Saccharomyces cerevisiae S288C: one gene and its partners. The protein of the gene in region 1 interacts with the protein of each later gene in a biochemical or structural test. Each region holds a gene or a part of one and is shown on either strand. Other genes may lie near its edges.

Region 1 (5,660 bases):
AATCAGCATCTTTCATAGCAAAAATCAGAGATTCATGAAGCTCCCTTCTATCAACAAATTTTAACCCATTTACATTGTGTTGTACTAATTCGTCAAGCACTGGATAGTTCATTGCAATAACAGGAAGACCTGAGCCAAACATATCTAAAATTTTCATTGGCAGGTCCAACCCTGAACTTGAAGTATGCAGGGAAACTCCGTAATCGCATAATTGTAATAACTTTGGGTAATCCTCTGCTGACAACCACACAAATTCGATTTGACAGCGCTTCCAGTCATATTCTTCTACTTGCTTCATATATTTCTCCTTTAGTGGTCCTTTACCCGTTATAAAACACAAGATCTTAGGCAAACTTGAATCAAATTTGACATAAGAGTTTTCGTAAATCTTTAGGGCACCTAATAAAATACCAATATCTTCATCAGGGGTGAATGATGTTGAAGTCACAATAATTTTATCGCCTTTTTCTGTATCAAAATCATCGCGAATATAATTCTTTATAAAGGCTTTGGTAGTTAGGGCTTTTTGACGAGAAATGTCACCTGCCAAAGGTTGAAATTGGGAAGCCGGGCGGTCGTAGAGAACAGCACATCTCTTTGGATTCAAGTGAAAGCTTTGAATTAAATATTTCCTCATTGCTTCAGTAACAGTCAAGTTATAATCAGCAAATTTGCTGAATATCATCTCTACCATGTAAGATATCAACACTAAAGGATGGTAAAAGTTTCCTTTAAATTTTAGTTGCAATATCGAATATGCTAGATTGTGCCAATCAATAATTAGTTTACAACCGGTCAACTTGTATAGCACAGCAATCGGAAGAATGGGTATGCTCGGTGGATTTTGAACTAGTATGTAATCGCTTCCTCTCAATTCCCAAAGTAATTTGAAAATACTTAAAACTTGAAAAAGCACCTTCTTTACCATAAATATAACTGATGTTCCGCCTCCCTTTCTTTTCAAGTTTGACATATGATGGACGGTGATATTTGGATCACTGGAAATAATTTTGGGTAGAGTGTCCTCCACATAACCGCATAGCTCGACTTGCCAACCTAACTTACTGAAACTTATAGCGTGATAGCATATCCTTGGAGAGTGTCCTACATCACCCAGCACAAATATGATGATCCTTTTTTTGGTCGACTTGTTGCCATAAAACAAGTAGGGTATAACATAATAAACCACTAACGGTATGGAAAGGTATAATATTATTAAGGCAAGTAACCACCGAGGAATTTCCAAAAACATTTTCACCAATTGACTATAGCCCCTAAAATGCCGTTACAATTACCCTCTAATGGCTTTGCTAATTGCTGATTGAAAGATATATGACCAATTAACTTGATGATTGCTATATGCGCGTTCTATTGAAGCAACGTGCAAGATGATCACTGCTTGGATTGACCTTGTTTTAGCAACAAGCCATACAAAGATATCAGACAGGAAAGTCACAGTCAAAGCATGCAAAAATCGACAAAGCAAACATAAGTAGAACCTGAGAACATCAACCATATGTCCTAATGAATTCAAGCACCCTCTTTTCCACCCAATTTGAGACATTTTCAAGATGTATTTATATTTTCGTGTACTGTGATATGACTTTATTCTTAGAATTTTTTATTGCCCGCGTAAGAAGGTGTTTAACAAGAGATCTTGTTAACTCACAAGGGTACTCTGACTGGATAGAAATCTTATTCTTGACCGGAAACTATCGAACTACAAAGAAAGAGCTTAGTTAATACAAATAAAAAAGTACAATGTCCTCCAATCTTACCGAAGAACAAATTGCTGAATTCAAAGAAGCCTTTGCCCTCTTTGATAAAGATAACAATGGCTCTATCTCATCAAGTGAATTGGCCACTGTGATGAGGTCATTGGGTCTTTCGCCCAGTGAAGCAGAAGTAAATGATTTGATGAACGAAATAGATGTTGATGGTAACCATCAAATCGAATTTAGTGAATTTTTGGCTCTGATGTCTCGTCAACTCAAATCAAATGACTCTGAACAAGAACTACTAGAAGCTTTTAAAGTATTCGATAAGAACGGTGATGGTTTAATCTCCGCCGCTGAGTTGAAACACGTGCTAACATCCATTGGTGAAAAATTGACTGATGCCGAAGTAGATGATATGCTAAGAGAGGTTAGTGATGGATCAGGCGAGATCAACATTCAACAATTCGCTGCTTTGTTATCTAAATAGGTGCATCCTTGTGATTTTTTGCTCCCGCTATCTTACCCTTACCATTCTGGTTTTATAGTATTCGTTGAGTATCGTTTCATCTAAAGTTTGACAACCACACGCAAATATATACTGTACGTAGACAGGGTTAATGTTATTTATGTAGATAAGTAATGTTCCTGAGAAGACAGTTTAAATAAAGGATACGGATTGTTTACCAAGGCGGATAACTAAATTTAGCCAGTATTAAGTTCAATGTTGCGTAGCTATTTCATTATTTTAATTTATGCAGTCTGTCATCTTCTTGAGGAACAACATTTCGTTTGTATCTTTCAAAAGGATTTAAGTTATCGTCAGCAGCAGAAATATCTCCCGAATAGGCCCTCTCCATTTCAATAGGTCTTGGTTCGAGCGATTTTAGTAATGGCTTTTTCTTTGGGACCACTGGTGGCTTTTTCTTCAGGTTATCATTCTTTTTTGGGACAACAGGCGGCACTTTCTTTGGACTAGACCTAGAAGGTGGAGGCCTTGGTGGAGTAATAGACCCCGATGCAGACACATATTTTTCATCTAGATCTGAGGGAACAGGGCTAGAGTCCTTCACTTTTTTCGAACCGCCTAACTTTTCCAAATTAACGTTTGTTTTTCTTAATTTGATATGCGACAACTCATTGGTAATGGAGTTTAAAACTTCATCTTGTCCAGTTGCTTCCCTAGTAAGTTCCTTGGGATATTCATTGGCCTTTAAAGAAAAATTTCTAGGTTTTGGCTTTACAACAGGAGGAGGCGCCTTCTTCGTAGACTGTTGCGCTTGAATAGACGAAGTTACAGGAGGTATTGACTTTTCATATTTATTAGCATCTTTTGAACTATCAACTTCGGATGTTATAGTACCCTCATGTAACTTCTCAGATCTGGATGGGGCCGGAGGGGTTGGCGCTCTTTTTCTAATAAAGCTGTTGGGGGCATCACCCAAACGACCGTTTTCTGTAGAATTCTCACTCTTGGGGTTGTATTCATCACCATCATGGTGCTTAGCTATACGCCCACGCCCACGCCCATGATTTGCCTCAGGTCCGTCGATAGTATAAGAACTATCACTAGAATTGGACGATTGTGAACGCCTAAATGGTTTTGGTGGTGGCTGGAAGTTTTGAATAGGCTGTGTCTCCATATGAGCTCTTCTGAATTGAGATTGCGATTGCGGTTTCGATTGAGGTACCAACGATGGTTCAACGTTTCTATCTTCCTCAGAGGGGTGCCCTGGCAAAACTTCACCCTTCATTTCTACAGGTGATGCTTTACTATTCTGATTTTGTTTAGTTTCAGTATGTCTAAATGGCTTCGGTGGAGGTAAAAAATTAGAAATGGGATCCTCCTGTACATTAGCGGCATTCGTTGACAGCACCGACTCTGTCCTCTCAAAATTGCCTCGTGATGGGGGAGGAGGAGGCTCAACATTGTTCCGAGGAGGTAGAATTGGCACTGCCCGTTCTGGTGCGTTCTTCGTGGTGTGCTCAGAAGGTACAGAATCAAGTCCATGTCTGAAAGGTTTTGGAGGTGGCATGATGTTGACATCTACATCATAATGTCCTAAAATGGACGACTTGGAGGTACTTTCATCGTTTTCTTTGTTTCCAGAGTTCCTTTCATTGTCTGCAGTAGTAGTTCTTGAATGCTTTGCTGGCAATGAAGCCGCCGAAGAGGTTGTGTTAGGCTGTATTTTCCCACTTGGCGCAGGTTCCTGGTGTACAACTGCTCCTCTATCCCTATGAGTGGGAGGTGGTGGAAGGCTACTAACGTCTACAGTGGGAATATCGATTTTGGGCTTCGGAGCAGGTGCGTCTGGGTCAAATGGAGTAACTTCAAAATGTGGGGTTGAGCCAGTAGAATCAAGAGAAGGCTCAATCGGATAGATGTTTCCCTGTTGCATTGGTTGCGGTGGCTGTGGCTGCATTCTTACAGGCACAGGCGGTTGTCCACCGACTGGAGGCTGACCTTGCATGGGTGAAGCTCCATAGCTGGGGTTCGAATCTTGCATGTTTGTAGTACTTGACATGGCTTGGCCATAGACAGGCTGAACCGCAGCCATCCCAGAAACTCCTTCCACGTTCATTTGTGGCAACAAAGCGTTGTTTTGGTTCAGAGGCTGCTGTTGCTGTTGCTGTTGCTGTTGCTGTTGCCCAAAGCCATTTGACAGAGGCTCTCCGGGCGCTGGCAAGATCACTTGACCGCGCGGGGGCGGTAATGGTTGCCCTTGTTGTTGCTGTTGTGGTTGTGCAGGTGATGGTAAAACTTGCTGGCCAAACTGTGTCGTGGGCTGCTGCTGTTGGCCCGATGGAAATTGGGATTGTCCGAGATTGGTTGAGCCATGTGATACGTATTGCGGCTGCTGATGACACTGAAGACCGTTCTGGAAAGACGGTGATGGTGCCGGATTACTTGATTGGGTACCATATTGCAGATTTTGCGAGACAAACCCTGTGCTTTGCTGAGAAGCAGAGTTCAGAGATACCTGACTTGGAATTGCATTTTGGGGTTGATTTTGTTGCGGCAGCGACTGGTAGCTGGTTGCATTAGAATTTGACCCATACGGTGGTACTTGCTCTCCATATATAGGCGGCTGCTGTGGCACTACACCTTGTTGCAGCTGCTGTTGCTGTGGCATTACACCTTGTTGCAGCTGCTGTTGTGGATACTGATTATACTGTGGTTGTGCGTATTGTGACTGTTCCGTCGATCCTGCGCCAGGTTGGCCTTGGTATGCACCCTGAAAAGCATAACTGGCCTGACCATTTGGCATTTGCTGTTGCTGTTGTCCTGTATAAGTTTTTTGTCCAGGTTTCAAAGGTGGGGGAGGAAAGGACTTTGGGTCTTTTAAACTTCTTATATCGGTCGGCTTTCTTTCGTACTCCATCTCATCTTCGCTATCATACTCCTCATCACTTGAATTTTTCTTACCACTCTTCCTTTCCCTACGCGCTTTGCTGTTGTTATAGTGCTTCTTACTTGCCTTATACCCTGTCTTGGCAACGTACTTTGTTCCTTGGTAACCATATTTACCGGCGCTCTTCAGCCCTGAAGTGATGGAATCTTTGTTGTTCTCCCAAAATCCCATGCTGGTTGATAACTTGATTTTTTTATGAAAGACCTCTCTCGAACATACGATTATGTAAACTCAAAATGACTTTATCCATATATGTATACACTTAATTTAGATGATGAAATATAAAAAAATAGGGTGGTCCCTGGTTTTCCTGAAGCGCGATTTAGGCAGATCCAGTGGTACTACGGGAAAAAAAAATGCCGACACCGATATGAAATAGACAACAACCATAGTGGGATGATCTGGTCGACTGCATGGTTGATTTGATTGTCTATAGGTATCAACGTACTTCCTTTGGATGGAATGCCTTATACTTGGAAGTTTTTAGGAATCAGCAAGCAACTTTCACTGGAAAATGGTATAGCAAAGT
Region 2 (8,834 bases), on another chromosome or scaffold:
CTATATTGTCGAAAAGCTTCTAATCTCTATACATAATTCTCCTAGGTCATTTAGAAACCAACAACGAGAAAAAAAATAATTGTAAAAACATAAATTTTGGACTGATTATGCCCTTGAATAAATTAATAATTAATGGCTGCTTCAGAATGTATTCATACACATATGCAACTTTATCTAAGTGCTCAAATATTAATGAGCTTTTCTCATAGTATAATGCAGATAAAAAATAATACTAATAGAAAGTACTGTAACATATTCGTTGGCTTCAGTGAAAGCGCATCGGACAGAGCATAATTCCTGGCATATGTTCTACCACAATTCCAATAATCGATGGGCGAACTTTTATTTTCTGCCACGTTAATTGAAGAGGAATAGCCGCAATCCAGGACACCATGCCAAGTAGATGTTGGCATATCAGCTGAGAATGTGGTTCCTGGAACCTTTTTAGTCAACGTTGCAAAAGCTGATTCATATGCTCTACCGCATGCCCAGTAGGCTTGTGCGTCTTCTGTTTCGTATCCAGACATGGCCGTATACATCACTCCCATGTTACCACAAAAAAAATGATGTGGTCGCATTTGGTGATAATGAAGTAGAAAATGTGGTTGTGGGGGAAGTTGTTGAATCAGACATTCTCACGTTACTTTACTTTTTTTGTTAAACTGAAATCTTTAAATAATCAAAGAGTTCAACGTTCGAGTAACTCTTTTTTGTTCTACTTTTAAGTAGCTTCACTTTTCTGAACAATTGAAATAGTTGAACAATTGACCACGCTACAACGGAATTTTGATAAAATAGCAAATGATGTTTTAATATATATAACTATTTATTATTTATGGTGGCTAAAAAATTTTCAGGTTTTCAGGCGACCTCTTCAGTATCCATTATATGCCGCGACAAACCCTTTTTCCAAAAACGGTCATCGATGTTTATTCCGAGTAGGCTCAGTTGCCTGCGCCCGGACCCTTCTTAAGGGGAAGTTCTCGAAACTTTATGTAATTTTAAGTTTAACATAAACTGTATAAGCCGCTGTAACACTGTACCAAGATAGGCGTTTTAATTACGGCCTAGATTGTTTAATATTTTGCTTAGAAATAATAGGGCACAAAAAAACATTCGAGGCTTAAAGTAGTGTCACATAAAAATGTGTCTTCTGGTACTTATTAGAAAAGGCTTCCCAAAAAAAGCACAAAAGAATTTAGTATTGAATGTTCATGCCCCTTGTCGGAATAAAAACGGAAAAAAGGGAGAGTAAACTAGTCTGTTGTAGCAGTAGGCAGTGATGATTATTCCTGGAAAAAATCAAAGATTCTGTCTTACACAACTTATTCAGTACAGTTTCGCTAAGTAAGGAAAGAAACTTTACAAGGGTAAAGTAGGTAAAGTTCTAAACTATATGTCAAGGGTGTCCCAAAATAAAAACTAACAGTACTTAATGAATAGAGTTCCTGGGATTGTGCTGATCCCAGTTTTCTTTGGCAGCTCTGAGCGCTTCTGCAACTCTATGTAGGCAATTTTTAAATCGGTTGACTTTTTCTCTAGATTTGTTCGGTAAAATGAGGTGTTCTTGTGATAAATTTTCTCTTTTGTTGTCACTTACGTCAACGCTCAGCCTAGGACATGATGTCTTAACCTTAATAGTTCTTCTCGACAATATATTTTTGAAATGTTCGTAATTTCTGAAGAAACTATTTTGTTTTTCAACACATACAGAACTTCTCCTCATGACAACACTTCTTACACTTTGATCTCTACTAAAGGTAGAATTTGGTGAAGCTAGATGGACTGGATAATATGGTGATGATTCCGATATTATTTTCAAATTAGGGGTCAAAATTCTGGACCACGTTGAAGGTTCCCCATACGGATCAGGAGCTGGGTTTGAGCAGACCCAATTTGCTGTTCTTCTCGAGATTGTCTTTGCAATAGCAGGAGTTATACGTTGCATTTCGGCTATCGCTTGATTAGTAGTGTCTTTTAAGGCACTTTCGTCGCTGGAAATTACTGTTGCATGTGTCAATTCGATTGAGAAGGGGTTACTATCTCTTGTGGCCTTTTGTTCCGGAAACGTAAGCAGTTTATTGCCTGAATCAGTAGAGACAGTTCTACCGATTTTTTCAAACTTCCTCTGTGTGGTGCTTTGTTCATTGCGAAAATTTGATCGGTATAAGCGATGTGTACGGTTTAAAGTAAGTTCTTGAAGGGTAGGATTGTTGCTTTCATTAATTTTTTCTAAAGAAAAATTACTTCTCAACAAATATTCAGTTTTTGCTGACGTTGTAAGTGGGAATTCGACGGAGAATGTTTTATCATCGCAAACGTTCTCACTTGTGCATGAACTTTTTGTTGTTTTTGATGTAGTGGCGTTCTTTCCCTTTTTATTCAATATCTTTTTCGATATATAGTGTAAATTTTTGGTGTCACTGTCTAGAGAAAGGAAAGTCTTTCTTGGTGTCTTTTCCCAATTTACAGATACTCTATAATTTACTGTCGTAACCGCAAAAGAATCCACTGAATCTAATTTTGACCATCTTATTGTTCGTTTGAAGGAAAAGCATAAAAATTTGCCGGTAAATTTTCCAATTTTCATACCGTCACCATGAAAAACTGCTCTTTTATCGTCAATAAAAACATTTGGAACATTAACGTTAGTTCTCAAATACAGAATTGCCTCGCCGGTTTTTTCATCCTTTACGCTCTTATATATGAGATCGTGGAAATGCTTGACAAACAAATTATTTAAATTTGCATGAGGTTCTGCAAATAGCAACATGTTGTTTTTAATCCTTCCAAGAACTTTTTTCATTAGTGCAAAATAGGGAGTGAAGACAGCATGGAAAGCGCTTTTTAACGTTTCATTCGTAAAGTTCAAACTGTTCACGGAACATTTTCCAGGCCAGTGGAATCGTACCCAATAAACAGTTGGACATAGAACTAGGACTGGCATACACTCTTCCATTTGGAGAATGGATATTAGTATAATGTAAATATAATTGATTTCATCTGGATGTCTCTCAAAGTCAGCAACGCTGATTCGTTGGATGTATTTGTTTGAACCTGCCAACAGCCTGAAGTACTCTAATTTTTGTTTGTATGTAGCGAAATTAGTAAATTTAGCCAATCTTAGCATGCCTCTAGAAAATGATATATTGATGCTTTCGAAGCCTGGTAATCTAGAGTATTCAATGAACATGATTGAAAAAGCACTAGGCCAGGTGATTATACCGCAGACTTACGGTAATATAAGGGCAAGAGAACTAAAAAAATCAATAATGTAGGCTTATATTACAGTTCTTTGTGAGATATTCCTTTCTAGAGCGTTTTCTGTGTCCACTCAATTAATATATACACTTCCCGTATCCTAACATTTACTGACACAATGATAGGCACAACGCGCGAAGGAGCGGTGGGGCTTTGAACAATAAGGACCCTTACATAGAAAAGGCGTTAGAACAACAATATGGTTAGGCCATAGAAACCTCGGTGTCTTTTAGGAACTTCACAGAATAGAACATACTGCAGTAGATATAAATACACCACTGGGGCAATGCAGCCTGGTTTTTTCCAAATATACAAAACACTTCATGATACTTACTAATGGTCGTTGATACAGTACTCATTGTATCATTGCAGGAGAGTTAGGTTGGCTTTTTTGCATTTATTTATTTATTCATTTACTCAATTGACAGGCAATGTCAATGATTTTTTGGAAGAAATTTGCCTAATGTTTTTACTCAGTTACTCACCGCTCCCTGGATAACATAAGGTTCATTTGCTTCCGTACTGATTTTTTTTGGCAGTCTATAAGCCACTATGTACTTCCCAATGCTCCTGCAGGCATATTCTTTTTCAATTTTCATGTTTTTACTTCCAGTCGTTGAGCATCATATGGATTCTATGTTGATGAGGCTTTTCAGAACGTGCTGTACTTTCGGAGAAGCGCCCGCTTTAACGCAGCGCGAAGAGAATAATTGAGGCTTATCTTAGAACCCTGCCCCCTTTGAAGCCACCCATTGCTGTTTCTCTTGGTAATCCTAATAATATAAAACAATACGATATTGTTCAAGATCAGCAGAACTTCAATTCGTTGATCAATCTTTTCGTCACCTTTTCTTCTATCACATCGCCAATATAAATATAGACACCAAAAATGCCCAAGGAGTCAGAGGTCATAAATTCTGAATTTCATGTAGATGTCCAAGATCCAGAGCGTCTAAACGGCCACCCTGTAGCAAAATTTATCAATAAATTAAGCGGTCAACCTGAATCTTACGTCAACAGGACTAATTATATTTTCGGTCGAACACTGGGTGCCGGTTCCTTCGGTGTTGTGAGACAAGCCAGAAAGTTGTCCACAAATGAAGATGTTGCTATAAAGATCTTATTGAAGAAGGCATTGCAGGGAAACAATGTGCAATTACAGATGCTGTACGAAGAGCTGTCCATTCTTCAAAAATTGAGTCATCCGAACATTGTGTCATTCAAGGATTGGTTTGAATCGAAGGATAAGTTCTATATTGTCACTCAGCTGGCAACAGGAGGTGAATTATTTGATAGAATTCTGTCTAGAGGGAAGTTCACAGAAGTGGATGCTGTTGAAATCATAGTTCAGATTCTTGGTGCCGTGGAGTATATGCATTCCAAGAATGTTGTTCATAGGGATTTGAAACCTGAGAACGTTTTGTATGTTGATAAGTCAGAAAATTCGCCTCTGGTAATTGCGGACTTCGGTATAGCTAAACAATTGAAGGGGGAGGAGGATTTGATATACAAAGCAGCCGGATCGTTGGGTTATGTGGCACCAGAAGTCCTCACACAAGATGGACATGGTAAGCCTTGTGATATATGGTCCATTGGTGTGATCACATATACTTTACTGTGCGGTTATTCTCCTTTTATTGCCGAAAGCGTTGAAGGATTCATGGAGGAATGTACAGCTTCGAGATACCCGGTAACCTTCCATATGCCATATTGGGATAACATATCTATTGATGTTAAGCGTTTCATCTTGAAGGCATTGAGATTGAATCCAGCTGACAGACCAACTGCTACGGAATTGCTGGACGATCCATGGATTACTTCAAAGAGAGTTGAAACTAGTAATATTTTACCAGACGTTAAGAAAGGGTTTTCTTTGCGTAAGAAATTACGTGACGCTATTGAAATTGTGAAGCTTAATAATAGAATTAAGAGGTTAAGAAATATGTATTCATTAGGGGACGATGGCGATAACGATATAGAAGAGAATTCCCTCAATGAAAGTCTTCTGGACGGCGTCACACATTCGTTGGATGATTTACGTCTGCAATCTCAGAAGAAAGGGGGAGAACTAACAGAAGAGCAAATGAAATTGAAGTCTGCATTAACAAAGGATGCCTTTGTTCAAATTGTCAAAGCTGCAACAAAGAATAAACATAAAGTTTTGGCTGGTGAAGAGGAAGACGATAGCAAGAAAACACTGCATGATGATCGGGAGTCGAAGTCAGAAGACTAAATTACGGACTTGAATTCGTGTACATAAATTCGTATATAATATTTAATGTGTAAAGCTAGTGACGATTTTATGTAACCAGCAGCTACACTTCATGGCATTCAAACTATAGACCTTTTCTGGCATTACGCCTCAAGCTTCTTTTTTCCCGAGAATTATCTTGTAGTTGCCTAACGGGTTCTGAGAAGATCTCTATATCATCACAATTCCTATCACAATCTTTAGCGCCATTGTGTAATTCTCTTTTCCCAAAAGATTTATCTGTCCTATCTTCACCTTTTCTTGTCAATGTATTCTCCTCACTCAGATATTCTGAATCATAGTCATCGCTAACGTCAATGTCAACTTCATTTTCACTTTCCTCGGAAACGTCACCATTTACATCACTCGAGTAATGCACCGTGGTTCTTCTCTGAGAGCTTGTTCGCAAATGACGTCCTTCAGTACTGCCTGTAGGGGCAGCAGTTATGCGCTGAATAGTCTCATTTATGAATATACTGAAAATTTTCAAAAACTCAATTAGATTGTCTATACCCTTTTTTGTATCATCGGTGTCATTTTCAGTAAGTGATGATAAACTTTCCAAATACTCAATGAAGTTGCTCAAAGAATTCGAGTCTCCTGCAACTTCAAACCAATGCGGCACCTCGGCAAAGTGAACATCATTGAACTGTAAATTACGGATACATGCAGGAGTGTTCCTATATATAAGTTTAAGTTGACACTTGTTTTCATTTTGTGCGGTTTTTGCAGGCAGTATTTTTGTACCCTCCTCTTTGAATTTTACGAAGTAATTAAGATAAGTTGACATGTCATTGAAACTGTAACTAGTGTTTACTGAACTGCATTCGTTGCCAATCCAGAATGGTGGTAAGTAGAAATCTCCAACTCGTGGAATTCTCGCTATCATAAACTCTGATGTCCTTAACTTGTAAATTTCGTCTACGGTGGGATCATCAATTGGTGTGTGTGTAAATTCGTTTGCAAAATATTCACCCCATTCTTCATTTATTTTAACTGCAGCTCGTAATCTGTCTGTAGTTACTTTTTCGCTCAATGATTTCCGAACACCCTTTAGAAATTTCATCTGACTATTGATCTTACTCAGTTTTCCTTTGTCGCTGGGCTTCCTTTTCTTTCGATTTTCCAACTTTTGACTCATCAAAGAGCATAAAACTTCACAACTATCTAATATGTTATTGGCCCCGCACATAGCAAACCTGCTGGCGTGAAAAGTTTGATGGTTGAACCCTGTATCGCCTTTCAAGTGAGTGAGCCTTTGAATTTCATTATGGAAAAGTGCGGAGTAGCTACAATTCCAATCGATCATGCATCTCAATAATATTATTCTATCTAATGGTTCCATCGTCAACAAACCACCTCCATTAAAATTTAGAGTAGATAAAATATCACTATTACCACGCCATTCTTTTGGTAAGCCCCACTCCTGGATTAAGCTTCTGAGTTTGCCAACCAGTTTTCCATATGGATTTTTCAAACTAAGAAATCTTTTTAGCGTGAAATTTCTATGAGTTTGGTTGTCTGCTCTTTTCTCGGAGCAGAATAATAACCTCAAAAGACTGCAAAATAGTAGATTCATTTTATCCTGACAAATTCGAATATTCTTCGCAGAATGGCCAGCCACCTTTAATTCTAGTCCTATCTCCACATCTTGAAATGACAGGTTCAGTAGATCGTCGCTGAACACCCATTTAAATTTGACGATAAAAGAAAGGATCTTCATAACATCGCCTGCATATGGGAGAGGGGTGCAAAGGGGAGGCGCCCAATTGCTTTCCGTTACCGTCTCATCACTCATAAACTTTGCAAAGTCAGAATATCGTAAAGGAATATTTGGTGACCAGTTTAATGTATTCAATGGTCTATTATTAGAAGTAGTGTGTTCACTGATCGACTCTACCTTGTTAGTGTCGTTCGAATGTGTTTTGATATTAGAATATTTGCTTGCCATATTTGCCTCCATTTCTTTAGTTTTCATTTCTTCATCACAGGTACCTTCATATTTCTCCCGCTTTTTAGTATTTTGGGTAGCAGCATCCAGTGATTCGTCAATTGAACTATTGTGAGAAAGTACAACAGGTTCTTCTACAATTTTGATGTTTCTGAAATCATCAAAGGTCAACTGACCCCTTCTTTTTACCCTAGGCTTTGAAGACTGGTTTTTCTGTTGTTTGACCATAGGTTTCTTGATAAAGTCATCGACCAAGTCTAAATCAATAATTTCTGTCATTATTGTACCTCAAATTTCTTGTTCCTTATTTTCTTGTTTGATGTCTAAAAAAAAGAGATATCCTGGTAATGAGCAGGCCGTTTCTTCAGCTCATACAATCGAAAGCTTAAGAGTTAGTCGTTGATATGGTATTCTCTAATACCGAAAATAACTTAGTACATATAAACGCGTAAAGTTCACGCGTTTATATCACCCTACCATATGACATTCTAACCCTACTAATTTTTTATCAAAGCTAATAGGGTTGTATTTTATTATCTTTTACACCTACCTTTTTTTTTTGTATATGCCCTATAGATGAATTATAATTGTTGGACCGGTTTGTATTGGGCTTTTAAGGTGTAAAGTGAGTGCGTATAGATTATAGCAGAATAGACTATAAGTACGGCAAGACAGGAAAGTCTCCAATTGATGTACATTTTATCGCTTTGTGATCTAGGCAGTCGTTACAAACATGTTTAGAGATAGAACTAATTTATTTTTATCATACCGTAGGACTTTCCCTCATAACATAACTTTCTCATCTGGGAAAGCACCCTTGGGCGATGATCAAGATATTGAAATGGGTACATACCCGATGATGAATATGTCTCACGATATATCGGCCAGATTGACAGATGAACGAAAAAACAAGCATGAGAATCACAGTGATGCGTTACCACCCATATTTATTGATATAGCGCAGGATGTTGATGATTATCTTCTGGAGGTGAGACGGTTAAGTGAGCAGTTGGCGAAGGTTTATAGGAAGAATTCGTTACCTGGCTTTGAAGACAAGAGTCATGATGAGGCGCTGATTGAAGATCTAAGTTTCAAAGTAATTCAGATGCTGCAGAAATGTTACGCTGTTATGAAACGATTAAAGACCATATACAACTCTCAATTTGTGGATGGTAAGCAATTAAGTCGAGAAGAGCTGATTATACTAGATAATCTACAGAAGATCTATGCAGAAAAGATACAAACTGAAAGTAATAAGTTCAGAGTATTACAAAATAATTACTTGAAATTCTTGAACAAGGATGATTTGAAACCTATCCGCAATAAGGCCAGTGCAGAGAACACGCTATTATTAGATGATGAGGAAGAGGA
Region 3 (8,083 bases), 200 kb from region 1:
AGAATCTGTCGAAGCCTACTTAGTCTCTTTATTTGAAGATACCAACTTGGCTGCCATTCACGCCAAGCGTGTCACTATCCAAAAGAAGGATATCAAGTTGGCTAGAAGATTAAGAGGTGAAAGATCATAGTTTGTTGATTGTCATCAGTTTTAGTAAAAAACGAACAAAAACACAATAAAATATAAATCAATATATTTAGGTTTACTGGGTTCTTTAACAGTTGTATAATAGTTATTTTTTATTACAAAAATATAGGTTTTAATAAAAAAAAATAGGGTTCTATTTGTTTTACATTTATTGATTTGTTTTTCCTGGCGATACCCTCGAAAAAAGCCAGGCCTTGTAGGAGGCAAGATTTATGGCTTTCCATGTGGTTAAAGAAAAATTGCAGCAGGAAGATATTCATTCATGAGTCAGTTATATAATCGATATATAGCTACATATTAAACAACTTGAAGCCGCATACGTGGTAGGTGTCTCATTTTCAATTCAAAATATTTTAAACAGAACCGGAGATGAAGAACCACTTGTCAATAGACTTGTCAATTGGAGCATCTGCCTTTGGAGAAGCTGGTGGGATGGCATCAGAGGCAGCCTTGGAGTAGGTTGGGGTGTCAGGCAAAGTAACATTGGTCAAATCAATACCCTTGCTGTCAGAAGACTTACCAGCAATTAATTGTTTCCAGGAGTCATGTGTTTCCTTGATGATATCCAAAGCGTACTTCTTGTTCTTAGCTTCACCGGAGAAGGCAAATTGGTTTTCTGGCTTACCATCTGGGATTTTGTAAATTCTGAACCATTCGTTAGTAGCCCTCAACAGACCTGGGAAGTATTTCTCAACATCCTCAATGTCGTTCAATTTTGGGGCTAATGGATCGTTAATATCAATGGCAATAACTTTCCAATCGGTCTCACCTTCATCCAATAAAGCCATGATACCTAGAGCCTTAACTTGCTTGACTTGACCAGTGTAAGCAATAGTTTCACCAATTTCCAACACATCAATTGGATCGTTGTCACCAACTGCCTTAGTTTCTGGGTGGCTTACGTTTGGGTCTTCCCAAGTTTGTGGGAAAGCACCATAGTTGTGAATGTAACCATGGTGAGGGAAACAGTTTCTAACAAATCTCAACTTGCCCTTCTTGGTGTCTTGGATGATTGGGTTCAAAGTTTCTTCCTTGGTGATTTCTAACTTGGCGTTGGTCCAACGTGGAATTTCAACAACCATGTTGAAAATGTTGTTTTCCTTGTCAGCGTACAAGGGAATGTCGTGGAAGGCAGAAACTGGCTTACCATCCTTTTCGATATAAACTTTGTATTCCAAGGTGTTCTTGGCACCAATTTGTCTGGTAGTGTAGGTCATTAGTAAATTGCGCGGCGGGATATCCTGTTCTATAGACCTAAGGGACAACAAATCAAAATAGATGATTAAGAAAGTAAGTATTCAAAAACAAGTTGTAAATGAACTAACCTTCCTAACTTCGACGCGACCTTAAAACGTCGAAAAAAAACGAGAAAAAGTCATCATGAGACTATCGTATCTAATGACTGTGGCTTCTCCCAACAACCTTAGCGTCTGCGATGACGATATTTTGAAGAACAGTCAAATCCGTTTGAATAGTGCGCCACACAGGGATAATAATAGCACATTGGCATCTCCTTCTGTGAATGAAACACTTCTACCTGGGCTTCAAAGTCCCGCAACCTTTTAGTTACATAAAATTCGGCGGCTAAATCATGATATTATATTGATGGGTAATGTAGCGTTCAGTAAAACGGTTCCTATGTATTACTATCACGTGGGTGGGGAAGACCACATTCTTAGAGAAGAGTAATCATTTTAGCAGATTATTTTTACCTTTTTCAACTCATGAACTCATGTTCAAAGGTACAATATATTACCCTTTCTTCAAAGTATCCGAATGATTTGAACCGCACTCTGAGGGAGCCATCAAATTCTATTGAGCGACTTCGAATCGAACAATCCAATTAAATCAGCCTTTAGCGCCATATTTCTCCTTGTATCCATTGTTTACTTCTCCCTTGTATCTTGTATATGAGAATTATGGGAATAAGATAATTGTTGGGATTCCATTGTTTTCAAAGGCTGTAATATTAGGTACACAGATTATACTAGAAGTTCTTTTCGAGGATATAGGAATCCACAAAAGGAAATCGATAGTTATACATAATAATATTATTGTATCTTACTTCCTTTTATATGTTGTCACTCATTATTGTGTCGTGCATTCCATTAGATTGGATGACTGTTTCTCAATCTTTATGCCATCCTCTTACACCGCATGTGATATAATAGTAACATGAGTGCTGCGAAATAGATGATATTAAAATTTCATTCCAACAAAGTTCCATATATATCCATATATATATATATATTTCACGAGGATAATGAGTTAAAATACTATGTAAAGGTATTGTGGTTCATTTTTCTTTTATCAATTTTTATCCAAGTTTTTCTGATCTATAACATGTCCAATACACTTTTTCGAACTATAACCGCCAACAAATTTATCTTATAGACGAGAAACACTTTTATGATATCGATGTTCTACACCTACTGCCGATAACACCGTGTTTTCACTATTATAGCATATACCATTTTTGTAACCAATGTGTTGTTGTAATTCTCCGCAAGGCATATCCCAGATATTCTTATATGGCCCATTTCCACTTCGTTGAAGCCTCACATCAAAAGAGCAATCTTGAGATAATTTCAAAACCACACACATCGCTGCAGTTTCATAATATCTGTCATCACTGATGCAATAATTAAGTGACGAAATTATATCATTATTAACAGCTGTATTATTATTATAATCAAGACAAGCTGAATTTGATGCAAATATATATTCCCATTCAGTGCCGTTTCTTTCGAATTTATAGAAATCACTTCTTTGTAGGTAATTGTTCTGGCTTACTTTGAGCTTATTCATGTTAAAGTAATTGTTGGAATAAAAATCCACTATCGTCTATCAACTAATAGTTATATTATCAATATATTATCATATACGGTGTTAAGATGATGACATAAGTTATGAGAAGCTGTCATCGAAGTTAGAGGAAGCTGAAGTGCAAGGATTGATAATGTAATAGGATAATGAAACATATAAAACGGAATGAGGAATAATCGCAATATTAGTATGTAGAAATATAGATTCCATTTTGAGGATTCCTATATCCTCGAGGAGAACTTCTAGTATATTCTGTATACCTAATATTATAGCCTTTATCAACAATGGAATCCCAACAATTATCTAATTACCCACATATATCTCATGGTAGCGCCTGTGCTTCGGTTACTTCTAAGGAAGTCCACACAAATCAAGATCCGTTAGACGTTTCAGCTTCCAAAATTCAAGAATATGATAAGGCTTCCACTAAGGCTAACTCTCAACAGACAACAACACCTGCTTCATCAGCTGTTCCAGAGAACCCCCATCATGCCTCTCCTCAACCTGCTTCAGTACCACCTCCACAGAATGGGCCGTACCCACAGCAGTGCATGATGACCCAAAACCAAGCCAATCCATCTGGTTGGTCATTTTACGGACACCCATCTATGATTCCGTATACACCTTATCAAATGTCGCCTATGTACTTTCCACCTGGGCCACAATCACAGTTTCCGCAGTATCCATCATCAGTTGGAACGCCTCTGAGCACTCCATCACCTGAGTCAGGTAATACATTTACTGATTCATCCTCAGCGGACTCTGATATGACATCCACTAAAAAATATGTCAGACCACCACCAATGTTAACCTCACCTAATGACTTTCCAAATTGGGTTAAAACATACATCAAATTTTTACAAAACTCGAATCTCGGTGGTATTATTCCGACAGTAAACGGAAAACCCGTACGTCCGATCACTGATGATGAACTCACCTTCTTGTATAACGCTTTTCAAATATTTGCTCCCTCTCAATTCCTACCTACCTGGGTCAAAGACATCCTATCCGTTGATTATACGGATATCATGAAAATTCTTTCCAAAAGTATTGAAAAAATGCAATCTGATACCCAAGAGGCAAACGACATTGTGACCCTGGCAAATTTGCAATATAATGGCAGTACACCTGCAGATGCATTTGAAACAAAAGTCACAAACATTATCGACAGACTGAACAATAATGGCATTCATATCAATAACAAGGTCGCATGTCAATTAATTATGAGAGGTCTATCTGGCGAATATAAATTTTTACGCTACACACGTCATCGACATCTAAATATGACAGTCGCTGAACTGTTCTTAGATATCCATGCTATTTATGAAGAACAACAGGGATCGAGAAACAGCAAACCTAATTACAGGAGAAATCCGAGTGATGAGAAGAATGATTCTCGCAGCTATACGAATACAACCAAACCCAAAGTTATAGCTCGGAATCCTCAAAAAACAAATAATTCGAAATCGAAAACAGCCAGGGCTCACAATGTATCCACATCTAATAACTCTCCCAGCACGGACAACGATTCCATCAGTAAATCAACTACTGAACCGATTCAATTGAACAATAAGCACGACCTTCATCTTAGGCCAGAAACTTACTGAATCTACAGTAAATCATACTAATCATTCTGATGATGAACTCCCTGGACACCTCCTTCTCGATTCAGGAGCATCACGAACCCTTATAAGATCTGCTCATCACATACACTCAGCATCATCTAATCCTGACATAAACGTAGTTGATGCTCAAAAAAGAAATATACCAATTAACGCTATTGGTGACCTACAATTTCACTTCCAGGACAACACCAAAACATCATTAAAGGTATTGCACACTCCTAACATAGCCTATGACTTACTCAGTTTGAATGAATTGGCTGCAGTAGATATCACAGCATGCTTTACCAAAAACGTCTTAGAACGATCTGACGGCACTGTACTTGCACCTATCGTAAAATATGGAGACTTTTACTGGGTATCTAAAAAGTACTTGCTTCCATCAAATATCTCCGTACCCACCATCAATAATGTCCATACAAGTGAAAGTACACGCAAATATCCTTATCCTTTCATTCATCGAATGCTTGCGCATGCCAATGCACAGACAATTCGATACTCACTTAAAAATAACACCATCACGTATTTTAACGAATCAGATGTCGACTGGTCTAGTGCTATTGACTATCAATGTCCTGATTGTTTAATCGGCAAAAGCACCAAACACAGACATATCAAAGGTTCACGACTAAAATACCAAAATTCATACGAACCCTTTCAATACCTACATACTGACATATTTGGTCCAGTTCACAACCTACCAAAAAGTGCACCATCCTATTTCATCTCATTTACTGATGAGACAACAAAATTCCGTTGGGTTTATCCATTACACGACCGTCGCGAGGACTCTATCCTCGATGTTTTTACTACGATACTAGCTTTTATTAAAAACCAGTTTCAGGCCAGTGTCTTGGTTATACAAATGGACCGTGGTTCTGAGTATACTAACAGAACTCTCCATAAATTCCTTGAAAAAAATGGTATAACTCCATGCTATACAACCACAGCGGATTCCCGAGCACATGGAGTCGCTGAACGGCTGAACCGTACCTTATTAGATGACTGCCGTACTCAACTGCAATGTAGTGGTTTACCGAACCATTTATGGTTCTCTGCAATCGAATTTTCTACTATTGTGAGAAATTCACTAGCTTCACCTAAAAGCAAAAAATCTGCAAGACAACATGCTGGCTTGGCAGGACTTGATATCAGTACTTTGTTACCTTTCGGTCAACCTGTTATCGTCAATGATCACAACCCTAACTCCAAAATACATCCTCGTGGCATCCCAGGCTACGCTCTACATCCGTCTCGAAACTCTTATGGATATATCATCTATCTTCCATCCTTAAAGAAGACAGTAGATACAACTAACTATGTTATTCTTCAGGGCAAGGACTCCAGATTAGATCAATTCAATTACGACGCACTCACTTTCGATGAAGACTTAAACCGTTTAACTGCTTCATATCAATCGTTCATTGCGTCAAATGAGATCCAACAATCCAATGATCTTAACATAGAATCAGACCATGACTTTCAATCTGATATTGAACTATATCCTGAGCAACCGAGAAATGTCCTTTCAAAAGCTGTGAGTCCAACCGATTCCACACCCCCGTCAACTCATACTGAAGATTCGAAACGTGTTTCTAAAACCAATATTCGCGCACCCAGAGAAGTTGACCCCAACATATCTGAATCTAATATTCTTCCATCTAAGAAGAGATCTAGCACCCCCCAAATTTCCGATATCGAGAGTACCGATTCGGGTGGTATGCATAGATTAGATGTTCCTTTACTTGCTCCCATGTCCCAATCTAACACACATGAGTCGTCGTACGCCAGTAAATCTAAAGATTTCAGACACTCAGACTCGTACAGTGACAATGAGACTAATCATACAAACGTACCAATATCCAGTACGGGTGGTACCAATAATAAAACTGTTCCGCAGACAAGCGAACAGGAGACTGAGAAAAGGATTATACACCGCTTCACCTCCGATCGGATACTTCCGTCATCAGAAAGTAATTCACTACACCATGTCGTTCCTATCAAAACGTCAGATACTTGTTTTAAGGAAAATACAGAGGAATCTATTATCGCTGATCTTCCACTCCCCGATCTGCCTCCAGAACCTCCTACCGAATTATCAGACTCTTTTAAAGAACTTCCACCGATCAATTCTCGTCAAACTAATTCCAGTTTGGGTGGTATTGGTGACTCTAATGCCTATACTACTATCAACAGTAAGAAAAGATCATTAGAAGATAATGAAACTGAAATTAAGGTATCACGAGACACATGGAATACTAAGAATATGCGTAGTTTAGAACCTCCGAGATCGAAGAAACGAATTCACCTGATTGCAGCTGTAAAAGCAGTAAAATCAATCAAACCAATACGAACAACCTTACGATACGATGAGGCAATCACCTATAATAAAGATATTAAAGAAAAAGAAAAATATATCGAGGCATACCACAAAGAAGTCAATCAACTGTTGAAGATGAAAACTTGGGACACTGACAAATATTATGACAGAAAAGAAATAGACCCTAAAAGAGTAATAAATTCAATGTTTATCTTCAACAGGAAACGTGACGGTACTCATAAAGCTAGATTTGTTGCAAGAGGTGATATTCAGCATCCTGACACTTACGACTCAGGCATGCAATCCAATACCGTACATCACTATGCATTAATGACATCCCTGTCACTTGCATTAGACAATAACTACTATATTACACAATTAGACATATCTTCGGCATATTTGTATGCAGACATCAAAGAAGAATTATACATAAGACCTCCACCACATTTAGGAATGAATGATAAGTTGATACGTTTGAAGAAATCACTTTATGGATTGAAACAAAGTGGAGCGAACTGGTACGAAACTATCAAATCATACCTGATAAAACAGTGTGGTATGGAAGAAGTTCGTGGATGGTCATGCGTATTTAAGAATAGTCAAGTAACAATTTGCTTATTCGTTGATGATATGATATTGTTCAGCAAGGACTTAAATTCGAATAAAAGAATTATAGCAAAACTCAAGATGCAATACGATACCAAGATTATAAATCTAGGTGAAAGCGATGATGAAATTCAACACGACATCCTTGGCTTAGAAATCAAATATCAAAGAGGTAAATACATGAAATTAGGTATGGAAAACTCATTAACTGAGAAAATACCCAAATTAAACGTACCTTTGAATCCAAACGGAAGAAAACTTGGTGCCCCAGGCCAACCAGGTCTCTATATAAACCAGCAAGAACTAGAGCTAGAAGAAGATGATTACAAAATGAAGGTACATGAAATGCAAAAGCTGATAGGTCTAGCATCATATGTTGGATATAAATTTAGATTTGACCTATTATACTACATCAACACACTTGCACAACATATACTATTTCCGTCCAAGCAAGTGTTAGATATGACATATGAATTGATACAGTTCATATGGAATACGAGAGATAAGCAATTAATATGGCACAAAAGCAAACCTGTTAAGCCAACAAATAAATTAGTTGTTA
Region 4 (7,931 bases), on another chromosome or scaffold:
GCGACTGAAAACAAGAGCTCAAGAATATACTAATAGATTAAGAGAAAAGAAGCATGGGAAAGCCCATATTCATCATTTTAGTGATCCAGTTGATGGAGGTATTGATGAAGACGGTTATCAAATTCAAAGAAGAAGATGTACAGACTGCGGGCTAGAAACTGAAGAAATTGACATTTAAATGTTGGTTATGTATATAAGAATATAACAAGAAAGTCATAATAAGGTGTTTTGATTGTGTTCATTGATTGATATCCCATTTGTCACTCGTACATAATTAACTATCTCGGAAAAACTGGTTTGAAAATCTTTTATTCATCCACCTTATTTAATAATATGATTACAATCAATTCCTTGGGTGCATAAAATTACACCTATTCTTGCTTCTCTTTCTCGCCTGATAAAGTTGTTTTGCCTTATATGTTTATAGTTTTTAATATTTATTTGAAGGCCACATGGGGCCTCTTTCCCCCATTGGTTGAATAAGTATCCCTGTAGTGCGCCTAAAATGCTAAAAATAATAATGAACCTACACCTAGCATACCCGCAGAAATATACCAAATGGCATTGGAGGTTAAAAATGAGGTATTTTGTCTTTTAATGGCATTCGTCTTGTGTCTGTTTTCCAGGCTCCTCCTCACTAAACTTCTCAGTGATCTTTTCTTATTAGAGGATGGGTCGTCAGTGCTGGTCGCTGACGATGTTGGGTTCAAAGTTTCTGTTGGAAGCATCATTGGTGGTCTATAAGCCAAATATAGTGGTTGCATTGGAGTACCATCATATTGGTACAATTGCAGGGTGTAAATACCATGGTAAGGATCTATACCTACGGCATATTCCTTGAAAGTTTCTGTTTGGTTATATCTAGAATAAGTCGAAACTCCGTCATCATTGCATGGGTCGCTGAATAGTTGTCTACCGTCAACTTCAATAGGATTCAGAACTAACGTACCGTTTTCTGAAATGTTATATGTACCATGCTGATAAATCAACGAAGCCATGGGGCAAGTTGGGTTACGAGGATTGCCACTTACCTGGTAAGTAGCTTCTTCGTACCAACCATCTTCAGTGAACGAATAGCTAAGCCCGGGCAATGAAGGTTCTATCAATAGTTCATCTACGGGATCATAAAACCCCGGTCCCGTGAACACTTGATTTGATTTAGATGACCAGGTACCGTATATAGAGTTACTTTCGTCTTCACAATAGACCTTTTGAGCAAACAAATACCCGCCTAAGATTAGCTTTTTTAATGTAAACTTTTTCGACCACATAGTAATAAAGTGCAACAAATAATAATGGTTATAATACCGATCCTTTCCTCAGAATGATGTCTTACTTCAGTTTAATATGCCGGTAGGTTCTCGAAAAAGATGAGATCTCAAGCTTTAGTATGACTATATATCTATAATCTTAGAGAGGCTTTCTATTTATAACTGTTTGCTAATTACTACTCTCCTTTGCTTACCGCAAACGTTAGAACGAAAGGAAGAAAAAAATACTGGAAAATCGCGTCATCTTTTCCGTTCATGATGATAATTATATCAATCGTTGAAAGAATATTGGTATATTACTATTCAGCTGGTTTCAGGTGAAGAATATTGAGGCTAGATGTTTGTAGGTGGGCATTAAAATTATCTGGTATTAAAATGTCAAGTATGAATGTCATTATTACTTACGATGGAAAAGCGTAGTATTCCGTTATTAATTAAGTATATATGTAGGCTTGATGAGAAAATGGTCACAGTTGAGAGCTATTGTGGTTCCTTAACGATAGCGATATCGAAGACGCTCTATTAGTAAGTTCTCCTGTGTTCTGGAATATACCAGTCGTCATAAATTTGGCACGTTGTGGTATTTCAGCGGATGATGAGTTGGGAATTCTATTCTCTTTATTCCTTTCTTCTAGCATCATATTCTGATAATTGCTTGATAATGGCATGTTACCATTTTGGGTTTGATTAGGTAGACTGCTTACGCTTATGGCACTGTCACAAGCACTTTCGTTTTTAAACTGATTAAAAGTGTACATGTGAGGGGTGATCGGCGATGAATGGTCAATGTTGGTAGTACTGAAAACACTGTTGTCTGATTGTGCACTGAAGTTTCGCATTGGAGTATAATTGGTTCCCGAAGAATATGTGCTTGGAGAAGAAACTGATGATGAAGAGGCATTTTGGTCAAAGTAACGAGAATTGACAGCAATTTTTCTGGTTAGGTCTATTGTAGAGGCCAGTTGCAGTTTCTTTTGTAATTCCAAGTTATAATCTTTTACTTGTAATATGAAAGGTACTATACCATATTGCTCCTTATAAACTTCGACTAAAGATGGGGGAGAATTGACTATGCCATTGATGATAATGCTGAATACCTGCGTTTGAGTGTTTGAGTTTATATCATTACCAATGGGCATAGAGAGAAAAGGGCCTTGATCTTGATTAGTGAATTTGTTTATTATAGAAAACATACCATTGCATATTTCGTATAATTCGAATTTAAGCAAGTTGTATTGCCAACAGCTCAGATCAATTAAGAATCTTTTCAAATTTATCAATTTAATTTTGGAATTTAGTTCTTCATCTTCATCCATGGTAGTTGTATCGCCATCTAGTCCAGTACTTTGCGGTGAACTACTGATATGTTCTTCCACTGTGGCATCACTGTCGTCAGAAGATTGTGACTTTCTCTTACAGGACCATTCTTTGCCGTTGCTATTGTTATTTTGTAACTGGTTTTTGTAAAGTTCATATTGTATCAAACAATTTTCGTCAACGTTTAAAATGTAGTCATTAATCATGGGCTCATAAACGTCCCAGTTCAGAGTATCCAAGATATGTCTTTCCATTTGAATGAACATTGATTCATCGAATAAATCGGACCCGCCGCAATAATGAACCAATTCAGAAAGGCGTGGAATACGAGCTCTAGGATTGGGACCATAAAACCTACCACCTGTGGGGATGGAGACGTTGTTTATAATATGGTTGCACCCTCCCCAAGTTTTGGCCGCTAACCAAAGGCAGGTGCCTACAACTAGTTTAGCTTGGTCCTTTAACACTACTCTCTTAGAGCAATAGCGATCGTAGAACCTGACAGCGTGGAAGAAGATACCATTACTTACTCTAGTCATCACTGAAAGTTGATACAAAAATGTTACTATGGCTTCTCTAGTTTGATGAGGATTCATCTCCGGTTGCTGATCGATCAATTTTATGTCTGGTTTTGTCTTGGAAGATTGGACCAGCACATTTTGAGAGATTTCCTCGTGATATTCCTGTATGGTTTCGTAATGAGTTAGTAGTTCTGCATTGGACAATTCAATTGGGTAATATGTCTGCTTTGCAGTGACAATTAACCCAGTTTTCACTTCTGAGTGGTTCATGATCTTTTTATTTATTTTACAGAAATAGCTAACGAGCAGTGGAGTGGTGGTAGTGCTATTTTATTTAATTGCTATTATTGTTATCGTCGTTAAAATGTATTGTCAGCAAAATTACACTAATTTCTTCTATCCTGGGGAGATGGGATGAATAAATTGACAATAACCAGGAAATAAATTAAAGCGAACGAAGAACTCCTTGGCCAATTTGCTCTTAAGTGTGCATTCAACTAAGAAACTATTGAAGATAAGCATTACCAATTCCAAAATATATTCTTATATAAAAAGAGATACTAAGAAAATATCGAGAGATTAATTGCTGCACTCGCACCGGTACCACTTGGCGCAGGAAAACTGCGGTTTCCACAGGGGACCCACGCTGCCTTTACTCCATTCTCAATCTTGCCTTCTGCAGTATCTTTTTTTTTAATTTTCGAGTCTTCGTCACTTTCGAGTTAGTCTCCCTCCCAGCCTCGACCTGGCACCATTCAGCTCAATCCAGCAAAATCGCCAAAAATGCGTCTCCGATGCTTTCAAGGTTGGAAACTAACTAACGCGGTGCGAGATTCCCTCGAAGAAGTAAAATCGCGAATTCTTCCTTGAACGCGTCTCTTGCAGGCTGAACAAAGAAGTCGCTAGTGGATCGTCACAGAATGAACACGCCCACGAGCGGGATCTGGCTCGAGTTGTCATGAATACTGAAAGTATCAGGCGCGGGGTTGTAGTAGGTAAAGAATTTCTCCAAGAGGTTGTAGGAATGGACTTGTTTACCCCTTTACGCGCGGTGTTTTCGTGGCTTTACCGCATTGGGGTATGTCCCAGAAGAGAGTGTGCGCTATTCGATTTCCTATCAGTGAAGTGTTGCGAACAAGGGAATGCTGTCGAATTAGGAAAACAAAAGTTTATTCATGCAAATTTTGTGGCACGCTACCCTAAGTTCTCGATGATGTTTGGCTGCGTTTAAGTGAGTAATTTACATCCGCCTGTTAGTCCCGTAACATTCTCTTTTATTTTGCTAGGATAATTAGGTTGATGCCACGCACGACAATGTAGCTACGTAAGTTTTTTATGTAAGGGAACGAGACGAAGTGATTGTAGCGCACAAGATCTGGCCTTCTTAATCTAGCTGAGGTAATGTTATTGTTCTTTTCAGCTTTCCCGCTAAGGCTAGAGCCTTCTCGATGTTTTCACCAGCGTTAATCTTGAAGACAAAGCACTGCTTTGTTTTAGTGAGAATATGCGAAAGGACTGAGGGAGCATCATCAAGCTCTCTATTCAGCTGTACCGTGGACATACTACCGATATATATATTCATTGAATGGGACTCTTCATCTTTTCCCAACTTGGTATCTAAAGTTAAAATGTTCATGCATTCTTCATCTTGTGACAGATCTCTAATTTCTGTTGGGTTATCTAATCCAACGTCACTGTGTTTAATACTTCCGTCAAGATGCAAAATGTTCAATGTCATCTTATAATTCTCACCGTACTGCTCAATTAACTGTTTTAGCAAAGTCTTTTTCATTGGTGCTGTGGGTTGCTGCGAAACCACTATAATGCTGCAGTTAATTAACTTGCTGATGTATTTTTCCAGGAACGGAATGCATTCGTTATATAAGCGTTTGTGATCCTTATGGATTTCTTCGAGAACTACTCTATCAAATACTTGTACCCGTTTTTCTCCACTATTCTCGCAAATGCACCGATCCACATAGTTGATATGGAATTCATCAGGCATTTGTCGTTCATTGGCATACGCAAAGCATCGGGTGTATCCTTTGATTTCTTCAATTGAAGTGGCCAGATTTTGTCGTGTGTATAATTCCTGTTGAACCTTTTCTAGTTCATTAACGTACTTCTTCTTCCAATTGTTTGCTTCTCCTTCGACTTGCTTCTTCTCCTCCTGCACTTGCGTCAATGCTTGTGATGTAGAAGCAAGCTTCTTTTTGAGAGGAACAACGGCAAGTTCCATGCTATGGAAGTTCACTTCTGCCTCTCCAATCCTTTTTTCAAAATCGTTAAACTCATCTCTACACGTCTTAATATTTTCTTTCAGTTCACCATGGGTGTCTTGTAGGTCTTTTAAAACTTTCGAAAGTCTTTCTTGCTCCCCATCTAATTCAATTCTAGCATCGTTCTTAACTTTCTTGAATATCTCGAATTTCTTGTCCAATTCTTTTTTGTAGTTTTTACACTCGTTCTCATTTTCATTCTGTAGAATGAATAGTTTCCTATTGACCTCCTCGAATTCTGTTTTAAGCTGTCGCATTTCGTCAGTTAACCTTTCGTCAGGTTTCAAATTTTCTACTTCCATTAATTTATACGTCCACTCCCTTTTGGCATTCGATAGCTCTTCCTCTAAATCGTTTTCGAACTCTTGTACTTTTACTGCATGCATAGACACTATATTTTTTGATGATAGCTCAACATTCTTTCTTTGAAGATCACATTGATTATCCTTCAAGTCCATCTCCGTTGATAGTCCATCAATCTCATTTTGTAGCTCCCTGCACGCTTTGACTTTTGCATCTAATTCTAATGTTATTGCAGGTAGTTCCCTGGCATGAATACGAACAGATTCCTTTTCAATTTCAGAAATAGCATTCAGTAGTGAATCTATGTCTTTTCTAACCTTACGTTCATTGTTCTTAACCCTTTCAATAATCTTGGGGTCCCCCCCAAAGGTTAGTTTCTTAGTATACGTAGCGGAGGTGTCATCAGTGTAGCAGCGCCGTATACCAGATCCAGAGCTGTGCAATATATTTAGCTTGTTGTTATTAGGAGTTAGTATCATATCCATTTCTCTTTTCTGAACCTTCTGTCGTTTTGTCTTTGGAAAGTCTCGAGTGACGTTGTTTGGATCACTATGAAAGGAAAGTTTAGGAATTTTGGAGTTATTCATCCTAATAATAAAGCTTATGTCAACGAGTTTCAAATGCCAAAACAAATATTAAAATAGTGAATAGCTCTTATATATACACGGTCCAACCCTATGGCACAAAATTCACTTATTTAGGCGCTTAATTATAATGTCGTAGTTGTGTTTCAAAGTTGCTTCAGCCAAACGGAAAAGCCGCCTAAATGTGTCGATCAGTGAATGAGCTCAATAACGTGTGGATATCAAAAAATAATACAGTAAAGCCTTATTCTCGGACGATATGCTCAATGGTCAACGACTGACTAGTTTTATTTTGATACGAGCTACGACAGTGGTATCTTTCATATACTAGAATCATATTAGAGAGTAAATAAGAACAAAAATGGTAAACAAACAAATATCACTATGGACGATATTACTGATCACATGACTGTCTAATTTTCAATGAAAGTTAGGAGTGGAGTAGTCGTGCTATATAGGGCAATTACTATTCTTGGAAAAGTGTAAAGCTTTACATTAAGTTGTATAAAACGAATCAACCGCACTCTTTACATTGCTGCATGGCTTACTATGAGTTCCCTATTAATATCATACGAATCTGACTTCAAAACAACCTTAGAACAAGCCAAAGCGAGCTTAGCAGAGGCCCCCTCACAACCGTTATCACAGAGAAATACTACACTGAAGCACGTAGAACAGCAACAAGATGAGTTGTTTGACCTGCTAGATCAGATGGATGTAGAAGTTAATAACAGCATAGGCGATGCCTCAGAACGTGCTACGTACAAGGCGAAGTTAAGAGAATGGAAGAAGACTATACAGAGCGATATCAAACGACCACTGCAATCCTTAGTAGACTCAGGCGATCGTGATAGACTTTTTGGAGATCTTAACGCATCTAATATTGACGATGACCAAAGGCAACAGTTGTTGAGCAACCATGCAATCTTACAGAAATCGGGAGATAGACTAAAAGATGCCAGTAGAATAGCAAATGAAACTGAAGGAATAGGGTCACAAATAATGATGGATTTAAGGTCACAGAGAGAAACTTTGGAAAATGCAAGACAGACCTTGTTTCAAGCGGATTCATATGTGGATAAAAGTATAAAGACACTAAAAACAATGACTAGAAGGCTAGTTGCTAATAAATTCATAAGCTATGCCATTATCGCAGTCCTTATATTATTGATTTTGCTAGTTTTGTTCTCAAAGTTTAAATAAGGTGGGAAAACAAATTCAATAAAAAACCTCTAGAATCTAAAGAACATGTCAAGGAACTATAGAGTTACCTTCACTAGTAATATCAACGCTACCTTACTGATAAAAAACTACTGCAATTAAATATTCTATAGATCAAAATATAGAGGTATATCGTTGGAAATATTTTTCAAACGTACAGATATTGAAGGTTCACCGCAGTTAATCAAGACACATCCTTATTCAACGGACTCATTGGGTCCATTGGGTCTATATCCTCATCTTTAGCCTTGTCAGTTACTTTCATATTTTTCACCTTATCTTTTAGCTTGCCTATAAGCTTGGTTTCAAAGTTGTGACGATCTTCAGGTACCACAGTTTCGTGAATACCTTCCTCTTCATTCATTTCCTCCATCAAATGTCTAGCCTTGTCACTTGAAATGCTGCTTTGTGGTGTCAACCCAGAATGGGTGCCCC

What was found.
Region 2: the proteins of CMD1 (region 1) and CMK2 form a complex in vitro, tested with the Saccharomyces cerevisiae proteins (one study listed by BioGRID).
Region 3: the proteins of CMD1 (region 1) and IPP1 form a complex in vitro, tested with the Saccharomyces cerevisiae proteins (one study listed by BioGRID).
Region 4: the proteins of CMD1 (region 1) and ROT1 form a complex in vitro, tested with the Saccharomyces cerevisiae proteins (one study listed by BioGRID).

Annotation. Positions count from the first base shown.
Region 1 is NC_001134.8:454,464-460,123, reverse strand, and holds CMD1 (calmodulin), read left to right. Parts: upstream 1-1,761; coding exon 1,762-2,205; downstream 2,206-5,660. Other genes in the region: ALG1 (chitobiosyldiphosphodolichol beta-1,4 mannosyltransferase), read right to left, coding at 1-1,252; AIM3 (Aim3p), read right to left, coding at 2,459-5,302; IML3 (Iml3p), read left to right, coding at 5,594-5,660.
Region 2 is NC_001147.6:291,437-300,270, reverse strand, and holds CMK2 (calmodulin-dependent protein kinase CMK2), read left to right. Parts: upstream 1-4,150; coding exon 4,151-5,494; downstream 5,495-8,834. Other genes in the region: YOL014W (uncharacterized protein), read right to left, coding at 204-578; IRC10 (Irc10p), read right to left, coding at 1,433-3,193; ESC8 (Esc8p), read right to left, coding at 5,598-7,742; t-SNARE syntaxin TLG2, read left to right, coding at 8,197-8,834.
Region 3 is NC_001134.8:256,612-264,694, forward strand, and holds IPP1 (inorganic diphosphatase IPP1), read right to left. Parts: upstream 1,365-8,083; coding exon 501-1,364; downstream 1-500. Other genes in the region: HHT1 (histone H3), read left to right, coding at 1-130; YBR012W-A (gag protein), read left to right, coding at 3,258-4,580.
Region 4 is NC_001145.3:658,092-666,022, reverse strand, and holds ROT1 (Rot1p), read right to left. Parts: upstream 1,272-7,931; coding exon 501-1,271; downstream 1-500. Other genes in the region: DNA repair protein RAD14, read left to right, coding at 1-178; cyclin CLN1, read right to left, coding at 1,739-3,379; CIK1 (Cik1p), read right to left, coding at 4,494-6,278; v-SNARE protein VTI1, read left to right, coding at 6,825-7,478; YMR196W (uncharacterized protein), read right to left, coding at 7,681-7,931. UniProt on the Saccharomyces cerevisiae protein: Required for normal levels of the cell wall 1,6-beta-glucan. Involved in a protein folding machinery chaperoning proteins acting in various physiological processes including cell wall synthesis and lysis of autophagic bodies.